Linked DNA regions of Oryzias latipes. The protein of the gene in region 1 purifies or fractionates together with the protein of each later gene. This does not show direct contact. Links are inferred from orthologs where the notes say so. Each region holds a gene or a part of one and is shown in the gene's direction. Other genes may lie near its edges. The genes, in order: ube4b and ubl7.

Evidence for each region.
Region 2: the proteins of ube4b (region 1) and ubl7 purify together in Homo sapiens (affinity purification with mass spectrometry; 3 studies listed by BioGRID and IntAct, counting the BioPlex papers as one, with this or other methods). This does not show direct contact. The link is inferred for Oryzias latipes from reciprocal best matches to the Homo sapiens genes UBE4B and UBL7.

Annotation. Positions count from the first base shown.
Region 1 is NC_019865.2:9,902,463-9,906,284, reverse strand, and holds part of ube4b (ubiquitin conjugation factor E4 B), read left to right. Parts: intron 1-1,548; coding exon 1,549-1,690; intron 1,691-1,928; coding exon 1,929-2,029; intron 2,030-2,310; coding exon 2,311-2,425; intron 2,426-2,670; coding exon 2,671-2,754; intron 2,755-3,822. UniProt on the Homo sapiens protein: Ubiquitin-protein ligase that probably functions as an E3 ligase in conjunction with specific E1 and E2 ligases. May also function as an E4 ligase mediating the assembly of polyubiquitin chains on substrates ubiquitinated by another E3 ubiquitin ligase.
Region 2 is NC_019861.2:28,019,315-28,023,236, forward strand, and holds the start of ubl7 (ubiquitin-like protein 7), read left to right. Parts: upstream 1-1,014; 5' UTR 1,015-1,104; intron 1,105-1,441; 5' UTR 1,442-1,444; coding exon 1,445-1,622; intron 1,623-1,740; coding exon 1,741-1,860; intron 1,861-1,944; coding exon 1,945-2,030; intron 2,031-3,627; coding exon 3,628-3,712; intron 3,713-3,789; coding exon 3,790-3,847; intron 3,848-3,917; coding exon 3,918-3,922.

The DNA of each region.
Region 1 (3,822 bases):
TTTTTAGCTTCATCATCAATCATAATTCAGTGTAAATGGGGTATTGCTTTATAGCAGGGGTCGGGAACCTATGGCTCGCGAGCCATATATGGCTCTTTTGATGGTCACATGTGGCTCGCAGACAAATCTTTAATTATACTTTTTTTTTCATTAGACCAGTCCTTCTCGGGCGCGATGCGATGCCAGAAGCGCGCAGTCGTAGCGGTGCTTAGAGAGAAAAATCTGCGCCAGCGCTATCAGTTTACTATTATCTATTATTTCACAGAGTTTGTACCACCTGGAAACCTGTGAATTGCCGTGCCTAAAAGTGCGCCCTCCCGTCTCTGAGAAAGAGTGCGCAGATGCGGGGACGGGATGTTAGAGGAAGAAAGCAGAGGGTGGGGGTGAGGTGTTGTGGGGACAGGCAGCAGGTGAATCGCGCAGGGATTGTAAATACGTAAAACCCACTGCCCGTCACTCACTGTAGCGTGAGTGTGTGTTTGGCTCCGTATCTGCATGTGATCAGTCTGTCTCACATCTACAGAACATTCAGACCTAAGATCACGTTTAAAGTCTCAACGCCTGCATGAAGAAGAAACTCACCACGTATCAACCAGACTAGACCATCAGCAGAACTACCACGAGAAATACTCATCATTTATTAGCAACAGCATAACAATGTTATTAAAAAGAATCCACAGACTTATTGTCCTTTAAAAATGTTGAAATTAAATAAAATGCACACATTCATTTGTATTTTTAGTTTTAAACATATTGTCGCGGACTGAGCGGCTGTTGGGCCGCGTTGAAAGTTCTGAAGTTCATTGAACGCATCTGATTGGCTCTCAGTTCTGTCGCTCAGCCTGTTATTAGGTAGTTTGGACCAATGGTGTTCAGCCATGGGCCAAATAAGGGAAATGGGAGGGCTGGAGCAGGAGGGGGGGAATATAAAGTTGGGAGAAGCGCTCTCGTCTCAGCGGGAGAGATTAAGGAGTTGCTGAAGTATTTGTACGGCGTTTGTCGCGGTCTGCAGTAACCAGAATAAAGAACCTTAAAAGAGGTTAAGTCTCCGTGCCTCCGTGTGGTAAAGGGACACCACATTATTGGATGGCTCTTTCGAAATTACATTTCAAAATATGTGGCGTTTATGGCTCTCTTGGCCAAAAAGGTTCCCGACCCCTGCTTTATAGGCTGCTAATAACCCAGTTAATCATATTACCTGCTGGAAGTTTTTCTTTGAGGTCAAATGCTGGAGTTAGCTAACCACTAACAGTAAAGCAGTGAAACCATTACTGCACATGTTGGTAAACTGTGAAAAGGTAAGGGGTTTTTCCTTTTTTTTTCTCTTCAAGCAAGCCGTCAAGTACGGTAATAACAATTTTCTTTGTTGAGGTTCTACTGCTGAAATGTCTGATGGATTTGCTTTCATTTAAAATGCTCCCGGTTGAGTTTGAGCTCGATAACCGCTTGATGATAAATATATCTGATGCTAATTGGGCATCCTGCTGGGCTCTGGCCTTTTCTGGTGTTTATTTTGTCTCTTTGTTGTTGTGCTTTTCCCCTCTGTAGTCTTGGTGCATGTGGAGGGGCAGTGTCTTGTGATGCAGCCAGCGACCGCTTCACCATTGAGGCATGCAAAGAGACAGAGATGCTGAACTACCTCATTGAGCGTTTTGACAGTGTTGGCATGGAGGAAAGAAAAGCTCCCAAGGTTGGTTGCTGTCTGCAAGAGAAAACATTTTATTAATCAGCCTCTGTTAAATTGGAACCAGATGTTCTCAAGAGAGTACATTGTCTTGAGAGATTAGCTGCAACTCTCTTAGTAAAAGAATTAGTATTGGGTTTATTTCAGTGTCTTTTGAGAGATTCTGTATCCAAACCTTAATCCATTTAATACCCCTTTATGCACAGGCAGGTAAACGCATTAACACAAACTTTCTCTTTTCCAGATGTGTAGTCAACCGAATGTCAGCCAGCTTCTCAGTAACATTCGTTCTCAGTGCATCTCTCATGTCACTCTGGTCCTGCAGGGCACCCTGACCCAACCGCGGTAAGACAACTACAGTTGCTGGGACACATTATTTTCATTCCTTGTTAAAAAAGAAAATTGGTTCAACAGAATTCTAAATCAAGTCAAAAGAAATATATATATATATATATATATATATATATATATATGTTTAACCTTAATTTTCTAGTGTTGACTTTTGCTCCCGATGCCTCATTTTGCTTTATTCCTTTTCTTCCCTGTTTCCATAGTAATTGCTCTTTCACTTTTTCACCAAGTTATTTGTTTTTATGCCTTTTAATTTACCTTTTTCCAATGTGTAGGAGCCCCCTGCAACAGTCTCTGCTGGTACCTTACATGCTGTGCAGGAACCTTCCATTCGGCTTTATTCAGGAGCTCGTGCGCATTACCCATCAGGAGGAAGAATTGTTCAAACAGGTGAGGAACACGTCTGGATTTTTGTAGCCTTTTCAAAACATGACCAATGCAGTTTTTGATGAAATTGTGGGAGGAAATGCACAAACTGAGCATTTTTAGCAAAATTCTTTTTTGTTTTTTAAGGATGTCTTCTGACATTTGTGTTTGCAAAGTAATTCGTGGTAGTTGCAAAACGATGACAGACATTTTTCTAAAAATACTAAGGCTAAATAAACTACAACAATGCTGTCTTGCTTACCTTTCAGATCTTTATTCCCATCATCCATGGGCTTGCACTTGCAATGAAAGAATGTTCCTTTGACAGTGACAACTTTAAGTTTCCACTCATGGTAAGACTTTTTGCTGCTCTTTTCAATTCTTAATGGTGAATACATCTTAGTAAATATACAACATGTAACATTTTTTTCTCAGTGAGTCATCAGGGTTTAGTGTACAATAACACTTGGTGTGGAAAATGCATTAACTTTCTATAACTTTGACATGCTATTTTTTCCCTTTTGATTTAAAAAGAAATATTATTTTTGGACTTGATGTTACTTAAAGTCAGGACAAATGACTACATTAAAATGAGTTTTCATTTCAAATTATACATGTTGGAAAGTGCATTCATTATCTCAGCAGTGTAAGGCAAAGCTGTTTGGAGAGACAACAAACTGTTAAATGTACTTTTACATTTTGAGAAATAGGTTTTTGGGATGTCGGCACAGAAGGTTGCTTAACAAAAGCCATGTCTATATGAGACAGTGAAGGAGTTGTACGATTTAGAGTAAAATGTAATATAAAGTTCTGACCATTTTCCACTCTAAGGGTGGATTTACACCGGCAGGTTTGATCCACATGAGCAGTCGTTTTAACATAAAGTCCACTTTGTGAAAGCCTGTGTGAACTCTGCAGAATCAAATGGGCAAACCCTGGTTTCTAGACGTTAATCTTATATTAACTCTGAATGCTCTGTCTATTCAATGTGCAGAGGATCAAACAGTGGAAAAAACAGATGTAGCTGGTGTCATGTGTGTTAAAGAGAAGGGGGGGGGCAGCTCACAGTGAGTCTCCATATGTGAAAATCATAAAAAGATGAAATGGCTTCTCTATCAACGCAGTGCATTTAGGATGTGCCAGAGTTTATACGAACATGATCGTCAGAGGAATAGTGGGACTAGCTGATATTCTTCTTTGTACTTTTTTTCCTTCCTGGTCAAAGTTTGTTTTTTGGCCCGTTACTTCTGAATGAGCTGAACTGTGAGATTTGTAACAAGTGGTTTGGTCTGCTTCCATTTCTTTTTCACTTTTGAGAATTCAGTCTGTAAGACCAAACCAAAACAATGCAGGTGTCAAATGTATTTGCATTTTGCTAAAGGCACTGACCATCTTTTCAATGAGCTGAACAGATAGACAAC
Region 2 (3,922 bases), on another chromosome or scaffold:
ATGAATGCAAAACATCAGTCTCTCACTCACACCTTCCATTATTCATTCAAGCTCACTATGTCTCCCTTCTATACTCAAAAACAAATACAATGATGGAACTGGAGGACAAGTGCTAGTGAGCTTTTCGTTTCACTCAGAATTAACACTCTCTGGGCTTGCATGCGCTCGCTTATGTTCAAATTTATCTGCAGATTAAACGCTTCAGAGAACACTCTCATCTTGGCTATAAGCAACATTAGATTTAGTGCAATACGTTTCCGGTCAAATTTATGGAAACACTGGAGGGACTGTCTTTTTACTTGTCATTGTAATTAAGGTTTTTACAGTGTAGTATGTATATGTAATCTTTTTATCTTGGTATTTATTCTTATCCTTTTTAATTAATTTGTTTGTATTAAGTATTTTCTATTAACTTTTTTATGAACTGTAACTATACACTGTACCTCAGCTGTGTATTCTTGACACTGTATTTTTTTTTTAAATGTGGTGGGTCTGTGTACTCCTTTTTACTGATTGGACCATGAGTCTGGAATAAATTCTATCTATCTATCTATCTATCTATCTATCTATCTATCTATCTATCTATCTATCTATCTATCTATCTATCTATCTATCTATCTATCTATCTATCTATCTATCTATCTATCTATCTATGAAACTTCATGGGATTAAGGAAACATGGAAGGACACATTTATGGTGTTTGAAAAATTTGTGCAATGAGGACAGAATTACAAACTAAATTGGTAATAAAGCAGCAGTTCAATGAAAACATCATAAAAAGTATTTTAAAAATATTCAAGGAAAGGTACACAAAGGACATATACTTGGCACGTAATTAGTTGATCATACTACTAACCCATATGTCCTCGTAGGCTCGTTTTTATGAAGTACCGCTGAGAAACAGCTGTGAAAGAAAATTAGAGGAAGTGGCAAACTAGACAGAAAAGTGTTCATGGGGATTTACGAATGTGCAACAGATGTGGAAAGGTTGAACAGGAAAGCGATGGGACAAGAAAAAAGGTCTTTGCTCGTGGAGTGGACGTGAACGCAACACGAGTCACGTGATTACAAATCCCGGAAGTGAAACGAGTGTCAACAGAGCGGTGAGTCTGCATCTTTCTTTTTATTCATAGGGTTGTTTCTTGTTCAGTTTTTAAATACATAAATAAATAAAATGTTCGGAAACTTTTATTTGAAATGTTCACAAGAAGCAAAATAATGTTTAATTAAGAAAAAACGTCACTACACGGCTGTCCTCTGTTCATTTTTTAAACAACCGTTTAGGTAATTGTTAGTATTGTAAATGTTCTCTAAACATGTAAACTTGTTTTAAAAGTCACTTGACAAAAAGATGCATCTTTAAGCAAAGGCACACATTTTCGGGTTAGCTTTAAGCTAACGGGGCATTCAAAACAGATGTCCCTGCTCTTGTTTGCGCAGACAATGATGGCGTCCTCAGACTGGCGCTTGTCTCTGAAACTGGCGGACCAGCCCAAATCCACCTTTCACTTCCCCGAGATGATGCCCGGAGATGTCCCACCTGGAGGATACAGAGTCGCCACCTTGAAGCAGCTTGTAGCAGCGCAGCTGCCAGACTCCGTCCCAGACCCTGAACTCATAGGTTTGTTAGCAGCAGAAATGGCTGCCTGTTGTTGTTGTTGTTGTTGTTGTTGTTGTTGTTGTTGTTGTTGTTGTTGTTGTTGTGTGTGTGTATAACTTGTTGTTCCTTGTTTTCCCAGAGCTGGTCCACTGTGGGCGAAAGCTCAAGGACGAGCTGACACTGGACGCCTGTGGGGTCCAGCCGGGATCCACAGTACACATTCTGAAGAAGACATGGCCAGAGCCGGAGAGCAGTCCAGGTCCGTGTCTGCTGCTGCGGTCAGAAGCTCTTGAAAGTCTCTCCCCATCACCGACACCTCGGCTCCGGATTTGTGTTTTTGCAGAGCCGGTGAACAGAGTGACTGCAGCCAGAGAGTTCCGGGTGTTCCACGCCGCTCTGCATTCGCTCAATTCAGCCTACAGAGACGCAGTGAGTCCATAACCAACAAAGACCCACTCTGTGTCCCGATTCCTTCACTACTCACTACATAGCCTACAAAGCTCCTAATACATGTTCTGATAACAAAAGTACCACAAAGATTTATTAATCTATTTATTTATTTATGTACTAAAAGTCTATATTAAAATTAGCAAGGCTCTAAAAAGAACTTAAATAAAAAAAAATCTCTTTTTGTCATTTTAAACTATTGGGTATATTTTGGAATTCGCTGAATGATATTAATAATTGTAGAAAATGTTTTGGAAACATCCATAAATCTTATGGATTGGATGGAAAAATCATAACTGTACAATTCTAACGCTTCCTGCTCAGTTTTTACACACAAGTGTGAGAAACCGAGCTTCAAAGCAGAGATGGCAAAACAGTTTACTTTTTTTTTTTAAAAAATGGGCAAAAAATTGTTCAAATGATGAAACTATATGAGATTCTACCAAACAGAAGTTGGATTTCGGAGCCAGAATCAGGGAGGACTGGAATCCCAGCAGCCCTCGGAGCGCTGGAACCCACAACATTTTTTTGGTCTTGCCATTAAAAACTGATCCCAAAAAAAAAGATCACCTAAAATCTGTTTTGTAGAATTCCAGAAATCTTTACAGCATGTTTTTACAGGTTTGTTTGAGTTTTGCAGTGATGGACTCTCATTTAATGTCTCACCTGGAGATCATTTCTCGTTCAATGGTTTCGTTTTACTCCCCAAGGTTTCCACTGTTTGTCTTAAATCACTATTATTTTTACTTATTATTATACATGTATATATTTTCCCCATATTTGTCTTTTTTTGAGCACATTTGAAGCCGTTTGTTGCACATATTGAATAGAAATATGGATGAACAGTTATGTCTCTGCCAAAGCACCTGTCTGAAACGGTGAAAGCTGATTCGCTGTGGCGACCCCAGACAGGATAAGTCAACTTATACATAAAAGAGCTAAAAGCTTCTGAATCTGAACAATCTTACTTGTTTTGTATTTTAGGATCTGGTGGTGAGCAGGATCTTTTGCTTGGTGTTTTTGGCTGAACTGGTAACTTTAGCACTGAAGACAATTTTTTGAAAATCATCAAAACCTCAGCCTGTTCTGCATTTACGTGGTGTAAAAAGATTCAGTTGGAATCAAAATGGAATCAGTAAAATCAGTTGTTTTGTTCTTGTTTGGACACTAAAAGCATCTAGACTTTGAACCAGAGGACAGGAACTCAAATGCTTCATGAATAGAAGCAGTCCGATTCTGAATGCTGGTTGTTCGGGAGTCAAATATTCTGGACGTTTTGGATCCAAACCAAAGCAGCTGCTGTTGGATTCTTCCATTTACTAATATTTTGACTCTGCAAAGGAATTTGGCTCCGGTGATTACATTCCTTTCCATTTGGCTGTCCGCACACCTGTCTTCACCGCAGTCTGGCTGTGATTAGATCACCTCCAATGCTTTTTATAGCTGTAGCTGAACAAAATCCCGGCCGGCGTTTGGTTATTCAGCTGGATCAGACTCTGACAGTAAAGGCTGGCGGAGCTCCATGGCAGTAATGGGAGCACTCGGCTTCTAAAAATCTGTGTTTGCTCTGAACTCTCAGGTCTATAAAATGCTGACGAATAAGGAGTCTCTGGATCAGATCATTGTAGCCACACCCGGCCTCAGGTCAGACCCGGTCGCTTTAGGTGAGAGCTGGACCAGCCACTTCCTGTGGGATATCTTTCGTGCATCGTAATGCTAACATTTCCCCTTCAATCTTCAGGAGTGCTTCAGGATAAGGATCTCTTTGTGCAGTTCACGGATCCAAACATGCTGGAAGTGTGAGTGGGACTTCTCAGTGTCCTCTGGTGACCCACAAGCTTCCGTTTAACAGTCGTGTCTGTCTGGTAGGTTAA